Oryctolagus cuniculus: one gene and its partners. Each later gene encodes a partner of the first gene's protein in a complex. Links are inferred from orthologs where the notes say so. Each region holds a gene or a part of one and is shown in the gene's direction. Other genes may lie near its edges.

Evidence for each region. The genes of interacting proteins can lie anywhere in the genome.
Region 2: ECSIT (region 1) and TMEM126B share a complex: the UniProt entries of both Homo sapiens proteins name them as parts of the mitochondrial complex. The link is inferred for Oryctolagus cuniculus from reciprocal best matches to the Homo sapiens genes ECSIT and TMEM126B.
Region 3: the proteins of ECSIT (region 1) and ACAD9 are in contact, whole or in part, in a cryo-EM structure (PDB 8PHE), measured with the Homo sapiens proteins. The link is inferred for Oryctolagus cuniculus from reciprocal best matches to the Homo sapiens genes ECSIT and ACAD9. Residues at the interface, in NP_057665.2 of Homo sapiens: Pro321, Glu322, Glu323, Trp324, Asn325, Leu326, Tyr327, Tyr328, Pro329, Met330, Leu332, Asp333, Leu334; in NP_054768.2 of Homo sapiens: Leu180, Thr181, Asp188, Ala189, Ala190, Ser191, Ile192, Lys228, Lys239, Asp240, Lys241, Ile242, Phe293, Ala296, Met297, Leu300, Ile431, Met434, Tyr435, Leu438, Thr439, Leu441, Gln442, Gly445, Thr449, Leu516, Gly520, Lys521, Ile523, Met524.

The regions. Positions count from the first base shown.
Region 1 is NC_091447.1:66,359,651-66,364,085, forward strand, and holds the start of ECSIT (evolutionarily conserved signaling intermediate in Toll pathway, mitochondrial), read left to right. Parts: upstream 1-1,575; 5' UTR 1,576-1,684; intron 1,685-1,883; exon of another isoform or gene 1,884-2,060; intron 2,061-4,435.
Region 2 is NC_091432.1:76,714,018-76,716,987, forward strand, and holds the end of TMEM126B (complex I assembly factor TMEM126B, mitochondrial), read left to right. Parts: intron 1-1,728; coding exon 1,729-1,840; intron 1,841-2,061; coding exon 2,062-2,245; 3' UTR 2,246-2,408; downstream 2,409-2,970. UniProt on the Homo sapiens protein: As part of the MCIA complex, involved in the assembly of the mitochondrial complex I. Participates in constructing the membrane arm of complex I.
Region 3 is NC_091441.1:111,772,692-111,776,335, reverse strand, and holds part of ACAD9 (complex I assembly factor ACAD9, mitochondrial), read left to right. Parts: intron 1-330; coding exon 331-406; intron 407-1,592; coding exon 1,593-1,663; intron 1,664-2,295; coding exon 2,296-2,415; intron 2,416-3,580; coding exon 3,581-3,644. UniProt on the Homo sapiens protein: As part of the MCIA complex, primarily participates in the assembly of the mitochondrial complex I and therefore plays a role in oxidative phosphorylation.

The DNA.
Region 1 (4,435 bases):
ATCGACAAAGGGCTGGGGGCTGATGGAAGATGGCATAGCCACTGGTGAGGAAAAGCAGCCAATTCTGAGTCTGCAGAGAGAAAGGGGAAGCCGCTGGCTGGGCGGATACACAGCTATGCAGATGGCAGCCCATGGGCTTAGCTCATAATCCCAGAAGAACAGACAGAGGCAGAAGCAAGAAGGGACAGGTGTTCAAAGATGGACTAAGCCTCAGAAACTCATCCATTCCTTTATTATTATTATTATTGTTATTATTAGTCGTAGTCGTAGCAGTAGCAACTATTCGGTGCCTAGAAGGTTCCAGGCCCTGTTTCTGATGCTTGGGATAAGGAATAGAAGACAAATCAGGGGGCTGGCGCTGTGGCTTAATGGGTAAAGCTGTCGCCTGCAGTGTTGGCATCCCTTGCAGGCTCTGGTTCGAGTCCCGGCTGCTCCTCTTCCGATCCAGCTCTCTGCTGTGGCCTGGGAAAGCAGTAGAGGATGGCCCCAGTGCTTGGGCCCTCGCACCAGCGTGGGAGACCTGGAAGAAGCTCCTGGCTCCTGGCTTCAGATCAGCTCAGCTCCAGCTGTTACGGCCACTTGGGGAGTGAAGCAGTGGATGCAAGACCTCTCTCTCTCTCTCTCTCTCTCTGTAACTCTGACTTTCAAGGAAAAAAAATAAAAAAGACAAATGAACAGCTTCCCACAACGGGTGGGATTTCTCTCAAACAAATATATAATTTCTTTTTGTGCAAAACAAAAATAAGAAGCGGGCAGAGGACCGAGTGAATGTGACTGCGGCCTCGTCCAGCTGCAGTCCACTTACCACAGGGCAGATAGCCAGAGGCATGAGCCCAAGTCTGTGAGCTGAAGGCGGCAGGGGGCCTGCCCGTCCTCACTCTGGGTAGCTCTAACCAAGCCAGGGGGGTGGTGCGGCAGAGCCTCGAATCTACCTCTGCCTAGGCTGCCTCGGGGCTCCGGAGCTGGGCCAATCTCACGCTGAGAAGCTGCCCAGAGGGGTCCCCTGCCCGCCCCCGCGCAGCGCAGACCCAGGGTGGAGCATTGCAGAGAGGAGGCGGGACAAGTCAGGCCACGCCCCTTCCAGTGCCCCGCCCCCTGCACCTGGCGAGGCTGCCGAACACAGAGGCAGGCTGAGGCGCCCATTAGTCAGGACTCAGAACCACAGGGAGGAACAGCCGTGGCCATCGTGCCGTGGCCCCCGATTACACCTGAGGCACCTGCTCTACCTGAGCATCCAGCTCCTCCCTCTCGGTGCCATCATGACCTGAGACACGGGGGTCATGATGGGGGGCTGCACACCCAAGGAACCCACTCGCTGTGTGTCTCACAGACACACCCTCGCGGGCACGGCCTGCTCTGGCGGACCCTGAGGAGCACACAGCCAGCATCACTGCCCCTACGGTGACCGTTCACGTCACTCTTTCCCGGGCCGCCCAGACTTTCCGAGTCCCCAGGTCGCGGGAGCCTCTCACCGTCTTAGGGGCGTGATCTCTCGCGTCATGGAGCGGGTGATTCTCCTTCCTATTGGTGCTTCTCCACATGTGGGCGGGACCTACAGAAACCCACGTTCGTGATTTGCTGTCTCCCAGGCGGCCCCGTGACCCGGAAGCTCTGTTAGCCAACATGGCGGCGCCCAGCGGCGAGACGGAGCCGGGTCGCCGTTCGCGTCCCACAGCGTGAGTAGGTAGGTGGCGCGTGGGATTTGCTGGGTTCCAGGGAGTTCCACTTCGGGCCCGGCAGGGCGGGATGGCGAGCTCAGAAGGAGTCGGCGCTATAGAGCCAGGGCGCCATGACCTTTTGGGGTGGGGGGGGCGGGGACCTGACGGGAAAGGTTGTCTGCGAGGTGCCCCGCGGCCTGACGGTCCGAGTCTCCCGTTTTGTAGAAGACCTCTCGTTTGCATAGAGACCTGAACGGCCAGAGGCGGCTCCCCGGAGGAGGGAGAAGCAAGTGCGGAGTCTCTGGGACTGGAGGACACTTGGCCTTGGTTCAGAAGCAACGTACCGGGGGCCTGCATGCGGGTAAAGCTGGCCTGGGACTCCGCCATCCCAGGTGGCCACGGGTGTGTGTCCTGGCTGCTCCACTTTTTTTTTTTTTTTTTTTTTTTTAAGATTTATTTATTTATTTATTTGAAAGGCAGAATTACAGAGAAACAGAGAGAGGTCTTCCATCAGCTGGTTCACTCCCCAGTTGGCTGCATCGGCCAGAGCTGGGCTGATCTGGATCCAGGAGCCTGGAGCTCCACCCGGGTCTCCCACGCCGGTGCAGAGGCCCAAGGACTTGGGCCATCCTCCGCTGCTTTCCCAGGCCACAGCAGAGAGCTGGATCGCAAGTGGAGCAGCCGGGACTCGAACTGGGGCCCATATGGGATGCTGGCGCTGCAGGCCAGGGCTTTAACCCACTGCACCACAGTGCTGGGCCCTAATTTATACTAATGTATGGTGTTTTTGTTTTTGTTGTTGGTGGTGGTGTTTTTTGTTTGTTTTTTTGTTTTTTTTTATTTTTTATTTTATTTTATTTTTTTTTGACAGGCAGAGTGGACAGTGAGAGAGAGAGACAGAGAGAAAGGTCTTCCTTTGCCGTTGGTTCACCCTCCAATGGCCGCCGCGGCCGGCGCGCTGCGGCCGGCGCACCGCGCTGATCCGGTGGCAGGAGCCAGGAGCCAGGTGCTTTTCCTGGTCTCCCATGGGGTGCAGGGCCCAAGCACCTGGGCCATCCTCCACTGCACTCCCTGGCCACAGCAGAGAGCTGGCCTGGAAGAGGGGCAACCGGGACAGAATCCGGCGCCCCAACCGGGACTAGAACCCGGTGTGCCGGCGCCGCTAGGCGGAGGATTAGCCTAGTGAGCCGCGGCGCTGGTCTTGTTTTTTAAGATTTAATTTGCAAGGCAGAGTGTCAGAGAGAGAGAAAAATCTTCCATCCACCAGTCACTCCCCACATGGGTGGCAGGAACCAAGTACTTGGGCTGTCAGCTGGCGCCTCCCAGGTGCATGAACAGGGAGCTGGGTCTGATGTTCAGATTAGCCTGGACTCAGGCTGGCAATTTGATGATAGATGCTGCTGTCCCATCATTGGCTTAACCTGCGGTGCCACAGTGCCCCTAATGTGTGAGTGTGTGTGTTTTAAGATTTATTTGAAAGGCAGAGGCAGAGCGAGAGAGACAGAGAGACAGAGAGAGAGGTCCTCCATCTGCTGATTCACTCCCCACATGTCCGCAGCAGCTGGAGCTGAGCCAATTCAAAGCCAGGAGCTTCTTCATGTCTCCCACGCAGGTGCAGGGGCCCAAGGACTTGGGCCATCTTCCACTGCTTTCCCAGGCCACAGCAGAGAACTGGATGGGAAGTGGAGCAGCCGGGACTTGAACCTGTGACCGCATGGGATGCCAGTGCTGCAGGCAGCGGCTTGAGCTGCTACGCCACAGTTCCGGCCCCAAAATGAATATTTTTAAAAGCCTCCTCCATGGGGAGAACTGGCGAGAAGCTCATAAGGGCAGGAGCTCATAGATTGTAGAGGGGGAGAAATGGGTGCCTTTGCAGCTGGTCACCCAGGTCGGTCGATGGATTGTGTGGGCAGGGGCAGGGCACTCTGAACTGACTCCTCGGCGTGTGCCCTGAGCCACTGGCAGTGGTGGTGCCCTTGGCTTGGAGCCAGAGGAACACGTTCGCGCTGGCGTGTCCGTTTGGAGCTAGTTCGAGGGTGAGACGGCCGGGTGCGTGCCAGAGGGGCGGGTCAGTGTGGGAGCTGTCGCCACGTGGCTGGGTCAGGGCCAGGATTTTGTGTTTCTGGTAACCCTGCCTCCCAGGGTTTTAACAGGAAGCTGGGAGCAGAGCAGAGCTGGGACGCAAGCCCACGCACTGGCTTATGGGATGGCAGTGTCCCAACCCAGGGCTTACCTACCAGGCTGTGGAGTCAGGCATCAACCCCAGCTGCATATTAGGGCCATTAGGGTGCTTTAAATGCTGCTGCCTGGGCAGCTATGGTGCTGCAGGTGTAGCTGCTGCCTTGGGGGCGCCAGCGTCCCACACGGGGGTGCCTGGCTCCAGTCCCGGCTGCTCTGCTTCTGGTCCCGCTTCCTGCTGGTTGTGCACATCCTGGGAGGGGGCAGAGAAGGACTGAAGTACTTGAGTCCCTGCGATCCACGCCGGAGGCCCGGACACAGTTCTGAGCTCCTGGCTTTTGTAGGCATTTGGGGCAGTGAGAACCAGTGGATGCAAGAACGATCAATTGATCTCTCTCTCTCTCTCTCTCTCCCATTCTGCCTTTCAAGTACATAATTAAAAAAATAAAATCCTGATGCCTGGGCCCCCCTCCAGACAGTCTGCATATCTGGATGTGGCCCGGGTTTGGGGATTTTTCAGGGCTGCCAAAATGAGTCTAAAGGGAGCAGACTTTAAGAACCACTAGGGAAGACTTGTTTCTCTTCTATGGCATGAAGTG
Region 2 (2,970 bases), on another chromosome or scaffold:
CCCCGGCCATAGAAGAGAGCCAGATAGGAAGTAGAGCAGCCGGGACCCAAACTGGTGCCCATATGGGATGCTAGCACCGCAGGCAGCAGCTTTACCTGCTTCCCCACAGTGTCGGCCCCCACACTGTTTTATGTAATCCACATGACAGTTCTGATCAAGCAGAGCAAGTAGTATTGTCTCCTTTTTATAGATAGGCAGTCAAACTGAAGCAAGTTCAAGGACACTAAAAAATAAAAGTGTTACTGGAGAAAGAATAAACACATATGACCTCAGATTCTACTTCCTACTACATAAGTTTTGTGATATCGAGCAAGTCATTTAATCTGTGAACCTTAGTTGTGTTACCTCTGAATTAACCCTAATTGTACTTATCTCATAGAATTGCTGTGAGAATTAAAAGATACTGTACTGGGGCCGGTGCTGTGGCATAGCAGGTAAAGCTGCCACCTGCAGTGCTGGCATCCCATATGGGTGCTGGTTCAAGTCCCACTGTCCCACTTCTGATCCAGCTCTCTGCTATGGCCTGGGAAAGCAGTAGAAGATGGCTCAAGTCCTTGGACCCTTGCACCTGCGTGGGAGACCTGGAGGCAGCTCCTGGCTCTTGGCTTTGGATAGGCACAGCTCCAGCCATTGTGACCAATTGGGGAGTGAACCAGCGGATGGAAGACTCTCTCTCTCTCTCTCTCTCTCTCTGCCTCTCTGCCTGTCCTCTCTCTCTAACTCCAACTTTCAAATAAATAAATAAATCTTTAAAAAAAGATATTCTGGCTGGCACCGCGGCTCAATAGGCTAATCCTCTGCCTGCGGCGCCGGCACCCCGAGTTCTAGTCCCGGTCGGGGCGCTGGATTCTGTCCCGGTTGCTCCTCTTCCAGTCCAGCTCTCTGCTGTGGCCCGGGAGTGCAGTGGAGGATGGCCCAAGCGCTTGGGCCCTGCACCTGCAAGGGAGACCAGGAAAAACACCCGGCTCCTGGCTTCGGATCAGCACGGTGTGCAGGCGGCAGCACACCAGCCGCAGCGGCCATTGCGGGGTGAACCAACGGAAAAAGGAAGACCTTTCTCCCTGTCTCTCTCTCTCTCACTGTGCACTCTGCATGTCAAAAAATAAAAAATAAAAAAAAATTCTATGTTAAATGATATCTGTGTTAAATAGTATCTGTCACAAGTTTCACAGTAATTGCTGGAGCCTCTAGCCCCTGTTCATTCTTCAGGTCCCTGCTTAAATGTCTTCTGCAGAGAAACTTTCCCTGATTCCCTTAGTGTAAGTTAGGTTTCTAGATACATTCTCTAAACACTTTACTGTAAAATCCTTGTGTGCACTTAAATATCTGTCTGATTCTTTCTTCTGTGGTAGACCTGCCAGAGGTAAGAAATTGGATTGTCTTTGCACCATGGTATCCCTAGCACGTGCCTTTCATGTAGGAGACGATAAATGTATTAACTTGGATTTGGTCTGCTAGTTTAGTACTCAGATTCTTATGAAAATCCTTCTTCAACAACCATAAATGTAAGGGGTAATTCTCCAAATGATGAAGCACAATAAAAGCACTTTTAAAATGTGATTCATTTAGCTGGTTACATGCCATAGACTTTGAATTTCTAATATACTCTGTACTGTTTCACTGTGGTTGAAAATATTGTACATAACTTCTCTATGAGTCACCACACTATCTTCAAGGTTCTTATCCTGAGTTTTTTAAAGATAAACCAAATTTACTTTTGTTTTTCAGGTAACATAAGCAAGGAAAACTGTGTCCTTAGAAGTTCACTGGTTGGCATAGTATGTGGTATTTTATATCCCTCTAGTTTGGCTTTTTCTAAAAATGGACGCCTGGCAGTCAGGTAAGTCTGTTTGTTCCTTTTCTTCTTTCTATCAAAATGTATTAGTTCCGTGTTCCAAATAACTAATTTTGGGGTTTTTTTCTTTCTTGCATTTTTTTTCTTTTTTTTTTTTTTGCTATCTACCTTATAGACCTGTAGTGGAAATTATCAGTTTAGGTGAAATCAGTAAACTTGATAGAAGATATATTCAGGAGACGTGATTAACTCTTTTTCTTTTTCAGATATCATACAGTTCCACTGCCACCGAAAGGAAGGGTTTTACTCCATTGGATGCTGCTTTGTCAAACAGAGATAAAAGCAATGGTGATTCCTCTAGTCTTTCAGACAATGTTTGGAGTACTTATTGGTTTACAGCATTATTCACTGTTTGAAAAAACACTTGCAAAAACGGTACATGAAGATTAATCAAAGAATGGGTACTGATTCAGCAAAATGGTTTTTTTTTTATGATGAGTACTTGGATATTGTGGAAAAAATTGAAAGTCACTCTGGACAGAGAACTTGTCTCTGTTTCGCCTGCTATATTGCAGATACTTAATAAATATTCAGTAATTCAGTAAATGTAAAACAGTGTGAAATAATAATTTTCATCTTTCTTTCCTCATTAAATGCACAAAGCAGTTGGAGCCTCAGGTCTGATCTATGTAGTTATAAATTAATTCCTCAGGCCCTGTGTCACTTATTAATAAGAACTATTCCTTACCCAGAAGGAACTCTCAATTATAAGAAAAATAAACAGGTACACATAAAAGGTTTTATGAACTACACACATAATTTGTGGGAGCACTGAGAATGTGACTATCACTTAAGTAAAAAGGGAAGTTATGGGGAGAAAGTGCCAGTTGAGCCAAATTCTGAAGGAGAAATTGGAAGTTCATATGAAAGCAAGGTATGGAAATAACATACAACCCATTTCTCTCCAGGGTTGGAGAACATCTGGCCCTTGAGCTGTTTAACACCTGTAAAGTCAATAGGCCTGGACCTACCAAGGTAACCATCAGTAGGACTCAAAATTCAGTAACTCTATAGCTGGCTATTTTATTTATTTGAAAGAGTTACAAAAAGAGGTAGAAACAGAGAATGGTCTTCCATCTGATGGTTCACTTCCCAAATGGCTGCAACAGCTGGAG
Region 3 (3,644 bases), on another chromosome or scaffold:
CTCAATGGCTCAGACTGGGCCAGACTGAAGCCAGGAGGCTGGAACTTCATTTGCAATTCCCATGTGTGTTGAGGGGCCCAAGTACCTGGGCTGTCTTCTGCTGCTTTTCCAGGCACATTAGCAGGGAGTTGGGTTGAAAGTGGAATAATCAGAACTCGAATCAGCACCCTTGTAAGATGCCAGCATTGCAAGCAATGGCTTAACCTGTTGTTCTGCACCACCCCTTGTCTGATTATTTCTTGAGTTTAAATACCACCAGGGGAATTACTGGGGCATGGGTCTGTGACCTTTGTCTTCTTAAGTGCCCTTGAGCTTTCTGGATCTCTGCAGGTGGCCATGAACATCCTCAACAGCGGGCGGTTCAGCATGGGCAGCACAGTGGCCGGGATGCTCAAGAGGTTGATTGGTAGGTAAGTGGGGGCCAGGGGCCCTCTGCTGCCCCACTGCAGCCTGGGAGACGGCCATCCCCTCCCTACTGTGCCCCCGGGGGATTGGTGTCTCCTCTGGGAAGCTTTGATGCCCAGCACCCCTTCCCCTTTGGGTGGCTGAGCTGGGCCACCTGGCTGGGTGGTCAGCACTGGTGGAGCATCTGATCCGTGGTTCAGAGCAAAGAAGGTCCTCCCCAGGGCTTGTATCTCAGCGTTCCTGTTTCTCCTGCACACAAAGGGCAGGGGCGAGGGAGGACGTCCTGGCAGGGGCAGGGAGGGGCTGCTGCTGTGACCCTCCCAGGTTCCCGTCCCAGAGGTGACTGGCCTGGGATCCTCCCCTGTCCCTCAGCTTGGATCTCCCTTTGTTCTTTGCTATCAGCACATGGAAAACCTACATTTTCGTTTGCCCATGAACTTAAAACAGCCCATCACCATTCTCATGGGATTGACTGCACGGAGCAGGTTGCTTAGGAACTGCGTGTTCCTTAGTGCACCGTACCTCTCGGTCAGGACAAGATGGACGCACACAGGCTTAGTCTGGGGTTTTCCTGCATGAGGCCTCTGCTTCCCCATCTGATAGACCCCTTAGTGTCCGAGTTGGGGCTTTCATGGTCAGCGTGTTCTCCAAAGGAGGCAGAACCTCTGAGGAATTCCCACAGCCCAGAAGCGTGCTGATGCAGGGACTCATGCTGAGACCTCTGGGAGACTGGATCACGCCTGTGGGAGCATTTGGCAGCAGCGGGGGGGGTTGCAGAGCTCAACTATATGCCTTCAAGCCCAGGCCCTCCTGCCGTGCACGTGAGTACCCGTGCCACGCCTGGGCCACTCCACCTCTGTGTGGCACTGTTGGCCCTAACTTTGTGCGAGGCATCCCTCACCTTCCATCTGGTTTCATCTTGGCAGCAACTCAGTAAGCCGGGCAGTGTTCAGGGAGATGAGCGTTTCGGCCGCCTCCTGCCTGCTGAGGATGGTGCAGGATTCTAACCCAGGTCCCTGACCACGGCCTACTGTAAGAGGGCTCTAGTTGTTGGGGTATTGGTCTCAGCAGACACCTGTCTCCCAGTTGCTGCCTGAGTGTCAGAAGGGTAATGGTGATAGCCTATGAGACCATGCTGGCCAACCAGAGATATTCTGGTTCTTTGTAACAACTCTGCTCTTCTGCAGAAATGACCGCTGAATATGCCTGCACGAGGAAGCAGTTCAACAAGAATCTCAGTGAATTCGGATTAATTCAGGTACTCATGCTCACGAGTGCTGTGCTTCTTGACTTCACTTTGTAGACACGCAAAGTGTGCTGTCTGCCCTCCCTGCACCTGTGACTCCCATGCGGGGCGTGCAAAGATGGCTGAATAAGGTTTGATGATGAGGTCCCTTCCTTTTATTTAAGCATGGGTGTAGTTCACTCTCCCCCACCCCTTCTTGCTCTGTGGTTGTTTTTTTTTTTTTGGAAAGAGTTATGGAGAGAGAGGGAGAGACAGAGAGAGAGGAGAGAGAGAGACCTTTCATCCAATGGTTCACTACCTGAATGGTCCTGGCTGAGCCAGGCTGAAGCTGAGAGCCTAGAACTCCATCTGGGTCTCCCATGTGGGTTCAGGTGCCCAAGCACTAGAGCCACTTTCTGCTGCATTTCCAAGTACATCAGTAAGGGGCTGCATATGAAATGGAGCAGCCAGGATATGACCCTGCTCGCATAAGGGACACTGACATTGTAGGTGGCGTCTTAACCCACACCACAGCGCCAGCCTGGGGCACGGCTCTCCTGAGCGGTGAGCCCTCTGACGTAAAGGCCTGCTCGGCTGATAGGCAGATTGGATCTCAGCTAAGCAGATGACTTGATGGGTGTGTGTGTGTGTGTTTAATCCTCCAGGAAAAGTTTGCACTGATGGCTCAGAAGGCCTACGTGATGGAAAGTATGTCCTACCTCACCGCGGGGATGCTGGACCAGCCCGGCTTCCCCGACTGCTCCATCGAGGCCGCCATGGTGAAGGTAATCCCGGCGTGAGAGCCCGGGAGCCGGTGCAGGAGGGACTCAGAAAGGCTCCGTCGCCTTGGCCTCCAACCGCGGGGCTGCCTCCTGCCTCCCTCCCGCCTCCCTCCTCTTGTCGGTTCACGGGCCAGCTCCCAGCGGGCTCGTGTTTACGACGCACCCCGGGGACCGCACCCCAGGGGTAGGCAGGCCCTGGGGTCGCGCAGGGGAGAAGCAGCAAAGCACAGGCCCGGCCGTGCGTCGGTTTGCAGGCAGCACGGTGCTCCCCAGGGCGGCGCGGGGCAGCTTTTCCAGAGGTCAGTGCTCAGCAGCAAGAGGAGACGTAGCCAGCCATTGCTGGGACGTCACAGCAGGGCGTGGGGCAGCGGGCTCGCTGGGAGGGACCATCTGTTCCCCCTACTTCCTGGTCCTGGGCTTCCTCGTGTGGGGTATTTGCAGTGGGAGATCCTGGGGCTTTCTGTTGGTGTTCGTAGGCAGGGCTCAGTGTCAGGTGGAATAAGTAAGATGGCTGCCCCACTTGGTTGCCCTGAATCATTCCCGCACTGGGCTCCGACTTGGGCTTGAGAGACTGGGTGGGAGACGCCCAGTGCAGGGCTCGCCCGGGCGGGGCAGGGCCTTCTCCCTGGAGGTCACACGGTTCCTGGCGCTCAGTGAGTCCCCTGTGGGTGAGTCTGTGTGTTGGTTGTGCCTCAGCCATCACCAGCGCCCACCCACGGAGGCTGTGCCTCTTCTGGGTGCCAAGCCTGGAGCTGAATCCGGCAGTGTCTCCTCCCCCAGTCGCTCGCGGTGTGGAGGGACAGAAACAGGGCCTGGCTGCCGGTGCGAGTGCAGAGGACGAGTCCCGGGTGGTGGGGCTGGTGCGGCTGGGCTTGCTGCACGAGGTGGAACCTTTCTTCAGTGGGAACTGAAAAACAGGAGCTGACGCAGGCATGGAGGCGGGCCCAGAGGTGTGGAAGGCCAGGGCAGGGATGGGCACCGCAGGCCGGTGGTGGGGTTGAGGAAGGCTGAGGACTTCCGGTCATGCAGCCAGTTCCTCCCTGGGTCAGTGTCATCCCAAAGCCCAGTCCGTCTCAGCCACCGCGCTGCTCCTGGTGCCTTGGCCGCTCTGCTGGGAAGGGATTGGGCCCCGGTGCCCCTGTGCTGACCTCTCCCTGGGTCCCTGCAGGTGTTCAGCTCAGAGGCCGCCTGGCAGTGCATCAGCGAGGCCCTGCAGATCCTCGGGGGTTCGG